Caenorhabditis elegans: one gene and its partner. The protein of the gene in region 2 interacts with the protein of the main gene of each other region in a pairwise test. Each region holds a gene or a part of one and is shown on either strand. Other genes may lie near its edges.

What was found. The genes of interacting proteins can lie anywhere in the genome.
Region 1: the proteins of sma-4 (region 2) and mtre-1 interact in a two-hybrid assay, tested with the Caenorhabditis elegans proteins (one large-scale study listed by BioGRID).

Annotation. Positions count from the first base shown.
Region 1 is NC_003280.10:8,047,018-8,052,920, forward strand, and holds mtre-1 (Male Tail tip Retraction Expression), read right to left. Parts: upstream 3,561-5,903; 5' UTR 3,502-3,560; coding exon 3,447-3,501; intron 3,400-3,446; coding exon 3,263-3,399; intron 2,418-3,262; coding exon 2,133-2,417; 3' UTR 2,007-2,132; downstream 1-2,006. Other genes in the region: T05H10.1 (Ubiquitin carboxyl-terminal hydrolase 47), read left to right, coding at 1-10; apn-1 (Apurinic-apyrimidinic endonuclease), read left to right, coding at 547-691, 904-1,533, 1,585-2,000.
Region 2 is NC_003281.10:5,813,897-5,822,138, reverse strand, and holds sma-4 (Dwarfin sma-4), read right to left. Parts: upstream 5,908-8,242; 5' UTR 5,863-5,907; coding exon 5,791-5,862; intron 5,591-5,790; coding exon 5,513-5,590; intron 5,358-5,512; coding exon 5,043-5,357; intron 4,468-5,042; coding exon 4,327-4,467; intron 4,023-4,326; coding exon 3,918-4,022; intron 3,873-3,917; coding exon 3,659-3,872; intron 3,428-3,658; coding exon 3,267-3,427; intron 3,135-3,266; coding exon 3,007-3,134; intron 2,959-3,006; coding exon 2,793-2,958; intron 2,748-2,792; coding exon 2,646-2,747; intron 2,338-2,645; coding exon 2,215-2,337; intron 2,167-2,214; coding exon 2,074-2,166; 3' UTR 1,942-2,073; downstream 1-1,941. Other genes in the region: R12B2.7 (Ovule protein), read right to left, coding at 6,626-6,832, 6,885-6,905. UniProt on the Caenorhabditis elegans protein: Involved in TGF-beta pathway.

The DNA of each region.
Region 1 (5,903 bases), on a different chromosome or scaffold from region 2:
TGAAGCTTAAATGTCTCATCGAAGTTTATAGCACGTTACTATTATTATTATATTATCATTATTTTTGGTCTAAAATTCATGTTTTTTCATAACTCCCTTTCAAAGATACAAATTAAATCCTCATAGTTTTTGTATCTTTATAACTATTTTATTTGCCTTTTTTCCCGATTTTCTCATGTTCCCATTGAATACCTTTGACTATCCAGTGAAAATTTTGTTGTGACCCTGTGACGTTATTTTGCCGATAGCTATTGATTTATTCGATTAACGTGCGCTCGGTTGCAGTATACTTGCAGTTGTGCATTCAAATTTTCTATCGTCTCGTTTCTTCAAATTGTATTTTTTCGTTGTTTCTATTCACCACGCCCTGATTGTTTCTTTTTTTATTAGAGAATGATCCAACTCAGGGATTAAAATAAACGTTGAGATTCCAAATTGTTAAAACTGGGAAGAAGTTGGTAAAACAGTGTCCATTTTCGATCTTTCGCATACCGTATTTTAATTTTGGTTTTTATTGAAATTAAAATTTAAAAAAAAACATTTCAGATGGCTAACAAAAAAGTAACATTTAGAGAAGACGTAAAATCACCGGCTATCAGGAAATTGAAGCAAAAATTGACTCCGTTGAAAATTAAGAAAGGGAGAGGAAAAATACAGAAGCACATCCAGAAGACGCTGCAGAAAATGAAAGGTTTGAAAAAAACTAAATATTATAATGAAACTTCAAAAAAATTGAACTTTGTAATTTTCTGCCAAAAATTAGAAATCACTCATTTTTTTGGCACTCATAAACAAATTTTTAGAGATAACATTAAATAGCCCTTCTTTCTTTTTTAATTAAAAAAATAGTTTAAAAACTACAAATTTATTCATTACGATCTTATTCATAAATTGTAAATTTAGAAGAGGAAGAGTCGGAAAACCAAAGCCCTGGAACTACCGTAGAAGAAACATTAACTGAAGAAAATATTTCAACTGATAAAGAAGAAACCTCTAAACTGGAAAACAAACCGAAAAAAACAAGAAAAACATCGGGAGAGACTATCGCTCAAAAAAAATCTCGTGAAACGGTTGGCGTGGAAGTTCTGAAAACATCTGAAGGATCGAGTAAAATGTTGGGATTCCACGTGAGTGCTGCTGGAGGTCTTGAACAAGCAATCTACAACGCTCGAGCAGAAGGATGCCGAAGTTTTGCCATGTTTGTTCGAAATCAGCGAACTTGGAATCACAAACCAATGAGTGAAGAAGTTGTCGAAAATTGGTGGAAAGCGGTTCGCGAGACAAATTTCCCATTGGATCAGATTGTACCCCATGGTTCATATCTGATGAATGCTGGATCGCCTGAAGCTGAGAAATTAGAAAAATCAAGACTTGCTATGCTCGACGAATGTCAACGGGCTGAGAAATTAGGAATCACGATGTACAATTTCCATCCAGGATCAACTGTCGGAAAGTGTGAAAAAGAAGAATGCATGACAACAATTGCAGAGACAATCGATTTTGTTGTTGAGAAAACTGAGAATATTATTTTAGGTTAGTGCACTATAATTTTAAAAAGAAAATTTCAATTTCAAAACATTTCAGTTCTCGAGACAATGGCTGGACAAGGGAACTCGATTGGCGGAACTTTTGAAGAACTCAAGTTCATCATTGATAAAGTGAAAGTTAAGTCAAGAGTCGGAGTTTGTATCGACACGTGTCACATTTTTGCTGGAGGATATGATATTAGAACTCAAAAGGCTTATGAAGAAGTGATGAAAAATTTCGGTGAAGTGGTTGGCTGGAACTATCTGAAAGCAATACACATCAATGATTCGAAGGGCGATGTCGGTTCGAAGCTCGATCGTCATGAGCATATTGGTCAAGGCAAGATAGGAAAAGCGGCTTTTGAGCTTTTGATGAACGACAACCGTCTCGATGGAATTCCAATGATTTTGGAAACGCCAGAAGGAAAATATCCGGAGGAAATGATGATCATGTACAATATGGATAAAAGATAATTCTTGTTTAATTGCATAACTTTTTACTGATGAATGATCAATTTTTACCATAGTATTGCATAGATATTGCATTTCAGAAAGAGAAAATAAGAAACATAATAAATTAAACTTAAAACAAGATGTCAAAAAAATCTAGACTCTGCGGGCACGAGCTCTGAGATGAGCGAAGATCTCGTTGTCGGACTTGAATTGGGTCTCGAATGGATCGTCGAACTTGCATCCGATACGGTAATTGACAGTAGAGTTCAAGCACTTTCCAGAACGCCAGAGAACATGCTCGTCGTTTCGTTTCTCAACTTGATAAGTGATAAAGTTGAAGCACGCACGATGTCCTTGATCGATGTAAGAGATGAAGACGGTGTGGGATTTTGGACAGACAATGTCACAATATTCACGCTCCTCTCCATCATGGTCTTCCTGGAAATATCAGATAATATTTTAGAATTTTTTTTAATGTTTAACGTGGTTTCTCTTTTTAGTTTTCTTGCTTAAATGTTAAGTAGCACCGGTAGGGATGTCAAAATACCGCGAAAAAACGAAAAAATACCGCCAATTTTTACAAATTTTCAATTGTGGCTAATCCCCTCATTTGAATTACCGCGGTTGTGTATCGAAACTCCGCCCATATTTCCATGCCGCACTTCTGTTTTATGCATATATTACGGGAACAATAAATCATGAGAATGCGTACTTGGTGCATTTTATTTGACGCGCGATATCTCTTAGCGAAAACTATAGTAAGAGCTTAAATATCTATTGTTATTTGAGTTCTTACTGTAGTTGTCGCTAAAAGATATCGCGCGTCAAATAAAATGCACCAAGTACGCATTCTCATGATTTTTTGTTCCCGTAATATATGTATACACCAGCCGTGGACCGCACCTCCGGCGCGGCCCCCGACTTCTGGGTTTAAACTAATTTTTCTGAAACTACCGTAACCCTACAGTATTCCTACCGTACCACTATTGTACCACTACAATACCCCGACTATATCCCTACATTAACCCCAACTCACTATCCCTCCAGAAACCAAAACTTCAGAAACTACAAAGACTACATAGACTACAAACTATGGACACACAGAATAAGCGCTTTATATATAGTAAATGATAATTGTTTCAAAAAAGTTGATTCACGATTCGAAGATAGCATGCATGTGACAAGATTTTACAAAAGACATTAGAAAATAAAAGAAAGCTTTTTTAATCTTAAAATTGAATATTTAGACCTTTTTCTGGGTTAATACCAAACAACAACCGTACCTGCCAGCATCCAAGTCCAGTTGGAACAGGTCTTCCAGTTTCCAACTCTTCAGCCTTCAAAACCAAATGACATTCAGCACGATCTGGTCCTCCACGGATAGAGTTTGTTGGAGTGGAGCATTTAAGCTCACGGTACTCTGGAATTAATATTGTTTTCTAAGGTTAAGCAAACAAAATCACTTACGGTGATAAGCCAATACACATGAAAGGATTGTAAGAATTAGTATAGGCCTGAACATGACGGCTGACACAGAGACTCTTCTGTTGTCTTTGTGAATATGCAAATGATTCGGAATCTGCGGGCGGCATATATGGCAAGATAAGGGACCGGTTCAGCGACATCGACATGATCAGACCGTTATGCGTATATTAATAATAATTATTGTTATTATCATCCAATTCATGTTTTTCGTCATTTAGATTCTTGTTTATGACGACACTGGTCATTTGGCAGAAGACTGGAATTGACACGGTCATTGAACTGATCCATATCAGTTCGTTTTTTATTACTTGCAGAAGAAGATATTGTTTTAGAATTATGGGGATAAACAGAGAACTTCACAAGATATTCAATTTTACAGAAACTTAGTAGGAACTATATGCCAAGTTTAAGTCAATTCCTTGCGTGGTGCGTAGTGTATATAAATTGAAATTTTGAAAATACTTTTTTTAAACAGGTTAACAGTTTATAAACTTCGAATTCATCAATAATCGAACCTACGGAGGACTTCCGGAACATTAAAAACGCATAAACGTTAGCGCCCAAGTAGTTTTTTAGATTTACCGTCAAAAAGTGGAGAAAATTCAATTTTCGAATTCGACCAGAAAAATTAGTTTCTACGAGGTTTATACTTGAACTTCAATTGTTCATATTCAAACATTCTAAAGGTTTGAACTTGCAGGAATACTCGAAATTACTCAAACAACACACATTTTTAGATTTTTCCCAATTTACCAAAACTTTGACTGGAAATTTTGAAAAACCAAAAAAAAAAGAAATTTATGATATTCGGTAACCTTAGGCTATCATAAGAGTATTTAGACTACAACTCAACTAACGATATTCCAGTGTCGCACTATTAAATAAAAAACACTTATTGTAGAAAGTTTTAAAATCTTATTACAGCGATGACATATTCTCTCGGTTGAGACATTTTTTAATCTAAAACAGTTACACATGACACATTCAGTTGGTGAGCAAATACATTTGCATATACTGGTATACATTCATTATGAAGGGAGTAAACCGCGTTCTTTGTGACGCAATAAAGAAGAAACATGAAACAATAATTGCCTTGTAAGGGGAAAAGAGTTGTGGAAGTATTAATCGGTTAATACAGGACAGAAAACATGGAGATGGTAAAAGCTTATATTTTACATATAAACTGTAAAATATGCTATTCAATCTTTCTAAAATAATTCAACTTTTCATTGTCGAGTCATCATTTGATTTTTATAAATTAAAAACAAAAACAAAACGGAAATTTTTGTGTGGAAACCATATTAAGATATTCCAACATTTTGGCAGTGTAATTATCTTAGAAAGCCTGAGACATCATATAAGAATTGGTTCTAAATATCAGTGAGAGTTGATTAAAATATTCTCAATTGCTCTTACTGTATCAAAATGTTTTTCAACTGTCAATCCAATCCAACGACATCTACAGTATAATGAGATCCAGAGTATAAGGTGTCTAGTTCAAATAAATATTCAATATAGAAATTATTTACATGTTATAAATTGAAACTTGATCTACTAGTTCCATATCTACCTGGGACAACCCATAAAAAAGGTCAAATCCAAAGTATTGTTGAATTAAAATGTTTTGCTTTATTTCAACCAAGGTCTCTCCATATCTTGAAATTGCTCTTTAGTCATCTACTCTCTATTAATAGTGTTACTGTGGTCATTTATCGATCAGAAGTACTTCCACCAACACATTTATAATCCAGAAGATTTCTCACTTGACCTTGTGTACATTTTGCTCGTTCCCATTTCACGATAATGGACTTATCCAAGTCACCATCTGCTTTCATCTTCCCAGCAGACACTTTTTAAAGCGGGTCACTCTCACTCTCATATGTACTATTTCTCATCGATGCAATGGCTCACCATCGTCCCGCGCGCGCGTCTTCCACCCTGTGTAGGCCAACTCACTTTTTTCTGTGCACCATTCAACCGCCAATCGACATGAAGACAGAACAAATAGTATCTCTCTGTCTCTCTGTCAGTCTTCATTTTTTCTTTTTTCGTCGTTTGGTGTGTACCCTTTTTATTCCCAAGCACCGTGTAGCATTATTCCATGTTTTTTCTAAAGAGAGTGCAAGTTCTATATCGGCTACAAGTTCTTCTTCCGTTGTTCTCTTTTCGAATTAGCATCATTATCCAGAGTACTAGGAGCAAGGAATAAGTTAATTTTGCTTCTAGGTCTCATACATCATTCATTTTCATGAATCCTACTTTATTTTTTTAAAAAGCAGATACATGTCTTGTATCTGAAAATTTAAAAGACTTCAGCGTGAATAAACGATGCAACATCTTTTAGGAACAAATGTTTTGCCAATCAGAAAAATACGGTGTTCCAATAGAACAATTTTATTTTAAACATCATACTATTAAAGAACCTTCTAAAAATACCTC
Region 2 (8,242 bases):
AAAAAATGCACTGATTTGATTTTAACGGTGACCGAGTTTTCTTTCGCTGTTTGCGGCCGCGGCGCAAAAAAGGGTGATCAAATTCAAGAGATTTTCCGACCACGAATCTTAAGTTTTTCAAAAATATTTTTAAAATTACGAAGTAAAAAACGTTCTTCTTCCCTCGAATCCACCTATTTTCATGTCATATCCTTTTGCATTTCCCAGAGGCTTTCTTCTCGTTTTCATTCCATAAATAATACGTGGAAAACGAGCAGTTGAGTTGAAAATGACACAGAACGTTTTACATCCCAAGACCCTTTTTTTCTAGAGGCAAAATATCCTGTTTTTTGGAATGTCAAATGAGCCATATAAGGTGTATGTATGTGTGGAATAACAATTTCAGTATGGATTCTTATAAATGTTTACTTCAAGAGCTCATTGAGCAAGAAAAGTCAAAAAAGAGAAAAGGCTCCTCTAATCTCCAAATGATGCCATGAAAAGGGTCAATATGATTTATTGTAGAACATGAAAATACTAGGGGTCCCCTTTTGTTCTCAACCGACCCGACTACTATAACTGAATTCTTTGTTTTTTTGAGATGGAAGAGAAGGTGGAAAATTATTCTTCATATATTTTTCGGCGGCCTCGAATCAAATTACGAAATTTCTACCATAAATATAAATTGAATTAAATCAGAATTTAAATTTTTAGACCGAATGAAATAGCAACATGTATGCAAAATGTCTGATAATATCACGAAAGTGCTCCTAGGTCATGCCATATTTTCTAGGCGAAAAAATAATTTTTGATCTAAATAATAAAAAAAACTAAGTATTTTTTTGTGCAAAAAGTGATTCAAGAAGAGAAATGAAGTGGAAGATAATAAAAAGCATGGAGGTTCAGAATTCAATCAAGCATAACCTTGAGAAAAAGGGTAAATGATGTCAATTTGGAAAAATAAATAAAAGCTAGTAGATTTTGGAAATAAGATAAATTGAATTGAAAATCTAATTTTTTGATTGAGATTTTGAATAAAACACCCGTAAACTGTCAGCCGTTGAAAAACTTGTGCATGTTATGGTACATTTGGACCATCTTTGTAAACTTTACTTTGATGTGAGATTCATCGAAAGAATAAAAATTAGTTGACATTTTAATTTTTTTTTAAAGTTTTTTTTTGAAAATCGGTTTCACCGATTGATTAATTTTGGGTTAATGTAGTTTTGGGCAAGTATAGAAACTTGGCCAAATGAAGAAGTGGCGCCTACAAATCAACTCATTTTAGTTCAAAATTCAAGTACATAAACATATTTTTCCAAGAAAAAAGTATGCAGAAAAAGTACTTGACAAGCTAAGTGAGGAACTTTCGATCTCCAAAATTTACTCTTAGTTTCTCAAAAAAAAAAAACAAAAGAAGGTCTTGCAAAAAGAAAAACTCTGTGATTTCTGAAAAAAATTGCACATAAAACTGCAACATTCAGAGGAATGGCTCAGTGAAATGGGGATGAGTGTAGGAGAAGACAATAAAAATGATAGTGTTACTTTTGGAATATTTTGTGTCGCACAGACAAAGGGCCACTAGGATAGAGTAGAAAGGGGGCGACACACTCACGGCCCCTGGCAAAATGGTTCTCAAGGGACATAATTCTCCCGGAATGGGGCACTTTTTTTGTCACTGGCACAGAGGGGAGAGACCGTCGAGCACTCTTATTTTGAACTTCATTGAAGAAATTAGTGGGAATTCGTGGGAATGATATTCCATATGTGAGAATTCAACCATGAATTTTCAATCAACCATAATGGCTCTGGGTAAGTAAATATGATGACAATGGTGCATATGGTTTGATTCTTCCATTTCGTCAACGCGGCCACCAAAAGAGAAAACTCAACCGCTCATTTTTTTAAAATTTCTTTGATTTTTCCTGCAACCTATTTTTACATAGTGTGGTTGTATTTACTATGCTAAAAACTTTATTTCCAAAGTGAAAAAATTCAAAAAAGGAGATTTTACAACGCACATGAATATGAGAAACTGCTGGGGTACGTAAATACAGGTAGATATCATTATTGAAGAAAAATAAAAAATAAGTGTTAGGAACTTCCAAATTGAGAACTATTTTTGAGAAGCTGGTCCAGTATTTGTAGAGGACGGTGCAAAGTTACTTCAATCCAACATGGGGTTTCCTGGAAAAAAGTCATTGGTGACTAGTTCTTATAGAGTAGTCGACATACCTTAATAGTTTTCCTCTGGTAGACATCACCCCAAGCTTTTACAAATGAAATCGCAATTGTACAGAAGTCACGACGCATCCTGTCAACTCCACTGTCAGGCATTATCGCTGGCATCACGGACATCTGAATTTTTAAATATTTTTTAAACTTGGGTATCAGGCTTTGCTTGTTCGTGTTCGTGATATATGATGCTTTGAGTCTGTGAATTAAAAGTGTACAATTAGCTAGCTGATGCCCGAAGCATCATCAGGGTAAATTGAATCTTTGATTCTCAGAAATAATACATCACCCTGGTCGCAAATTTAGTCAGTTTCACTAATAATTTTTAAGTGAACTATGGCATTGGGTCCGTGCAGAAAATCAGTACACTGATCATATGATGCACCATATGGTGCGTCGAGTCGTTTTTTTGCTTGCAAATTACTACTAACCGGTGCATATCCAGCAACAGCTGCCGCCTGTGCTCGTACTGCTTCATTGCTTGATCGAGAACGTCGGAGCATCTGCATGTAGGCCCATCTGATGTCGAATACCTGTAACATTCTATCATTTGTAAAACTCCCTGAATGGGAACATACTGTAAATGAAGATTCATTCGGAGTGAATCGATGTGCTTTACTACTGTACTCGGATCCATGAGTGTAGTCTAGGTACCCGGATCGGACGAAAATTTTACAATTTGAAGTGATAGAGATGTTGCCATCGGCGTGAGCGGTTAATTCAACACCACGACCAATATGGATTCTGCAAAACAGTGTTATATTTTTCTTCATGATCCTGAATTAAAATTACCTTGCTTTTTCACTAGCTTCTGTTCGATGAACATTTGAAAGTGCTCCAAGACATAACCTTCCTTCATTTTCTCCATGTGGATCCATTCCACCATCTACTATTACTTTTCCATGATCGCGGGCGCTGACCTAAAATTTAGAAAATTAAAATTATTTAATAACGCCATTGCACATTTTTGATAGAATCACGCTCTTTCACAAAAATTTCTAGGCGATTTGCACCATGAATGAATAGTCATCAGATTTCATAGAAAAACATACCTTAAAGGTTTCACCAATGGGTGTATCCAGTTCATAATAAATGATTGAACACCAATTATCAAGTAATTGTGGAGGTGTTGGAACATATATTTGATTGAGATCTATCGGAATATCAGAAATAATCGGTGTGACTAGCTGAGGTTGATCTGGTGCAAATCCTCCTGAAAAAAATTGGGTCACATTTAAAATCGGTCTCTAAAATTCTCAGTGTTGATTTTGTATTAAATATATTCATGCTCATCTTGGGCAGATGAGAAATGCCTCTATCTACCCTTTATCTTCACTAAACATCCATATCAAACAAATAAGTATTAGAAGGTACGTAGGCAGGCATAAAAGTCAGAGAGAGAGAGCAGCCACCTCTACTTACAGTTTTGGAGTTCAACTCTTACCATTAAAATTGTTATCAGGAGGTGTGTTCGGCCAATCACTGCAGCTATCAATAACTCCTGCATCTCCTAAATATTCGCTCTTCATAGGTGAATTCTCCACGTGAAGTGATTGATCTGCACTTGTTATCCGATTTGAGACAACTCTTTCGTAGTGATAAGGATTAATGCAAATATTATCAGGATGATCTGATGAAGTTTGACATTGAACTAATTTCTGGAATAGTTCAGTTTATTTCCGAGTTCAAACATTTTCATGTACCACAAGTTCATTTTTGCTAACTTTTGGCCATCTCCATATTCTTGCGTAAACTACATGTGGAACACCTTTCCGTCCAGCAACTTGAAGGCGTCCATCCAAGGATCTCTAAACTTTTAAAGATGATAACTGTATTTAAAATTGAAGAATCGGAAGTACTAACAAAAATCCATTTAAAATGTTCAAACCGGAAAAAACTTTGACATTATTATTTTACTTCAAATTCACGAAAAAAAATTTGAAAATTTTGTTGGTTATTTTAGAAAGTTGGCAAGCAACATGTTTTTCTCTTTGAAATACCCATAAACTGCTGAAATTTATATCTGGAATTTTGAAATTTTCGAAAATTCCAAGCATAAAATAAAAAATTTTAGGTTACTGTACAGAAGCAAAAGGTTGTATTATTTCAAACCTGAATAGTAACACATCCAGTTGGTTGTTTTCCATTTGAAGTAACTGCTGTAATCAATGCATCCAATTCAATTCGTTTGTCTTTCAATTTTTTGACAAGAGATTCGATGGCTTTCCGTACAAAATCACTGTCCTCTCCACCCTGAAACACGTGTAAATTGTTTAATTCTCTTTCAATGCTCCAGTTTTCAAATTCCACAGCTATCTTGGCGCCTGCCGTACCCACAATGTTTGTTTTGTAGTTTGGAGTTTTTTTTAATTATTAAAACTTCTTTTGTTTTGCTTGACAAGTTTTGGAATACCTTTTTCAAAATTGTTCTGAAAAATAAAAGTGGAAAAGTAGTTTCAGAACTATTTTGTAAAAATTCCAGAGTTTTTTCTTTCCTAAAGTTTTATGTTAAAGTTTACAAGAAAGAAAAAATTCTGGAGCTCTGAAATTTTCAGAGTTTTATTCAATGATTTCATCAGAGGAAATCAAATAAAAATTTCAAGTCTAGTACGTTATTTTCAAATGTAGAGAAGTTTCAGTTTAATCTAAATTTTTGGTTCGAAAATTTTCATAAATCCCAAGCAGATATGAATATGCAACTTTCTCAGCAATTTTTTTTGAAAACTTAAAATCCATACAACTTGAAATGTATTTTAATAGGAAAACAAGTATTTTAAAACATTATATTTTTACTTAAAATTTTTCTATTTTTCAAAGACCCCTTCTACCTGCTGATAACATTGTAAAACATGTGAAATCTGCTGACATGAATCCATTGCAGTTGTGAGAACTGCTCCAGCATTCGGTGGAATCGGTGTTGGATTGACTGTAGGTGTAGGTGGAGGTTGGGATGAAGCTTGTGATGATGTACATGGTGTAGGCGTAAATACACAAGAAATGTTATTATTGTTATATGAAGATGGTTGAGAAGGTATCAAAAATCCATTAAAAGAAGACGCTTCGTCAAGAGTACTTATTGTCGGCACGTTCGGAAAATCATATGGATGATCATTTGTGAACTGTGGTGGCATTTGAGGTAATAACTGAAATTTTTTGATTTAATAAATTTTGAAAAGCTTATCGATTTGGTCACTGGGATATAAGTTTATTGATTTTTTCGTTACATATGCAGAAAAATAGTAAAATGAGGTCCATTTTATTTTTGAGAGAATTAGTTTTCAAATATCACTGAACCAACCGGATATCGATTATGCGAGTTGTTGAAATACTGCATTCCGCATAAAATATTTGCCTGGTGGTAATCCATTGGATTGCACTGAAATAGTTAAAATTAATATTGTCTGAATTTTGTACTTCAGTTTCTAAATGCAAAGCACGAAGACAGTTTTATTTGTATTTTAAGAATCAGAAGCAATTACTAGACTACTATAATAGATAAGTGTTCCCCAAAAATGTTCATATTCTCTCATTCTCTCGCGCTCTCTCTTGAACTGTCTCCTACAATATAGTGCTCACCTGTACAATTTGCTCTGCTCCATACAAAGGATCATAATACATTTGGTTAGAAGTAGACGGCTGAGATGTCATACCTGGATGAAACATTATTCGACCAATTCAGACGTTTTTCGAGAACAAAGTGACAAAGATTGAGAGATAGAAAATGATAGCAAACCCACAAAAAAGTTGAAAAAAGAGGCGGAGTCACGGGAAGCAGAGAATACGGGAGAGCTGAATGGAGAAAATGGGAGGTGCTTACTTAGAACGGTTGGTGATAATCAGATAATGAAGAATAAATGAAGTTGTGATTCGAGGTGACAACGGAAGAAGACGATTAAGGATGAAGATCAGAAAGAAGGGACAAATCAAACAGCAATGGGATCTCAATTTAAAAATAAATGTTCCAATTATATGATTTATTTCTTTTTAAATTGTGCTTTCAAGGAAAGGATGAAGTGTGTTTGAAAACTTGGATTTAGGGAAAACTCCCTAACTACAGCAGACACACCGACCTACCACAACAAACATTCCAACATTCCAGCAATCAGTCCAGCATTCCAACTATGAAAACCAAACTATATTCTTATACTCTTTGTTTTGTGCACTTTACCACGCATTTAAATAATTGTGCAATGTGTCAATTACTAAGTACATAAGTACATGTAACAACAAACAACTAAAATAAGGAGTGGAATTCTGAAAATAGATGTGATTAATTTTTGAATGCTTCTCCCACAGAAACAATTCTACAAGTAAAAATTATTCAACAGTGAGTCAGTGGAGAACTATTTAAAAAATTCTCCATAACATAAAAAAAAAACATTGCTAATTTTAATAAAGTCGAACCTCAGAATCATCTGACAATTGTCATGCCATCTCTTTTTCTTCTTTGAAAATGATAAAAGTGCAATTTTGGAAAAGAAAAAGCATTAATCGAAAGGGAAATTAGTTTATCGTTCAGGGTGGGAATGACGAAGGAAGTAAAAAAGTACATCATCAAAAGATCAGAAATGCTCAGCGAGCAAAAAATAAAATGATAGAGAAATGTGAACAGTCCATTCTGCAAAATAGTTTAAATTATCTGAAACAATTGAGAGAACTAGGTCACCCACAAACAAAGTTATAAAAACCATTTCTGGCCATCCGGGGGACTTGTTTCATTATGAATGGAGAAAACTCGGCCATCAATATATCTCGCGGCCACATGGTGAGAAGGCGAGGAGAGAGTGCAGACAGCCAAAGTCTCTAGCCTCTCTGCGTCCCTGCAAACTCTACCAACCGCAATCTACGTGACAACACCGTGTAGCATAAAATTGTGTCTTAACCAGCCTGAGACACTGTTTTGTTCAATATGCCGGGAACTGTCCCATCGGTGCGGACTGCTCATCGATCAATTTAATTCGAAGCCGTCACACCTAATTTGTGTAAGGGGGATGTGCCCATATGTGTTCTCTACCTCCACATACCCATCACTCTGCGTCTCTTCGGCGCCAGTGACGATAAATGATCATAACAGGTGAATGGGAAGAGGAGGAGAGGATGGAATCGGAGAAAAATAGAGAGAGAGAGAGAGAGAGAGAGAGAGAGAGAGAGAGAGAGAGAGAGAGTGGCACAAGTTGAAAGAAAGGGAAATAGCTAATTTTCAGACATTTTCCTGGTTTATTGCTTATCTGCCAACGGTCACGTATGTCACATCAATAGAACATATCTTTAAGTGTTGAAGCAGCAGCGGGCACTTCGTGTGTCACTAAAATTTCATATTAGGGAGGCGGTGCCGCACAATGTTGGCTGCTTCAGACCATGATCAGCAGAACGGCAATACAAATGCGCTATATACGATGATCACTATGTTGCAAACTTATTAGCGAGAGAGCATGTTTGCTTTGATCCCAATCAGTTTTACGTTTAAACTACACTTAAATGATATCATACCTACTGCAAAAATCTGAATGAGCGGAAACTTAACAAACGGACAACAAAAAACGGAAATGAGGTGATGATCAGGGGGGGGGGGGGGTATCGATTAATTGACTTATCATTCGGGACAGGGAGAAAAGAAAAAGAGTCGGAGCATTACAAAGAGCACATCATTTTTTGAACTGATATGAAGAACATGGAGATGGAGACGCAGACGGTGAAAGATAGTATTGTAAACCTGATAGTTGCTATTTAACTTTTAAAAATGGACAAGTGTATTTAGGTTGCAAGCACCAAATGTGTGACACACCACACTTAACGCGCAAATTTAAAATTAAATACGGAATCATTGAGAATCGGTGTATGTCCTCTAGCTGGGTTCTGAATCCAACAGAATTGATGTGCAAACTAGGTATGGTATGTATTATATCTGTGACTCAGAAAGCAGTAACACTCACTTGAGGCACCTAATTTCACAATTTTTTTTTAATTCACAAGAAGTTTTCTTGTTGGCGTATTACATATTATTGCTCATCGAATTAGGCGCTTTAAA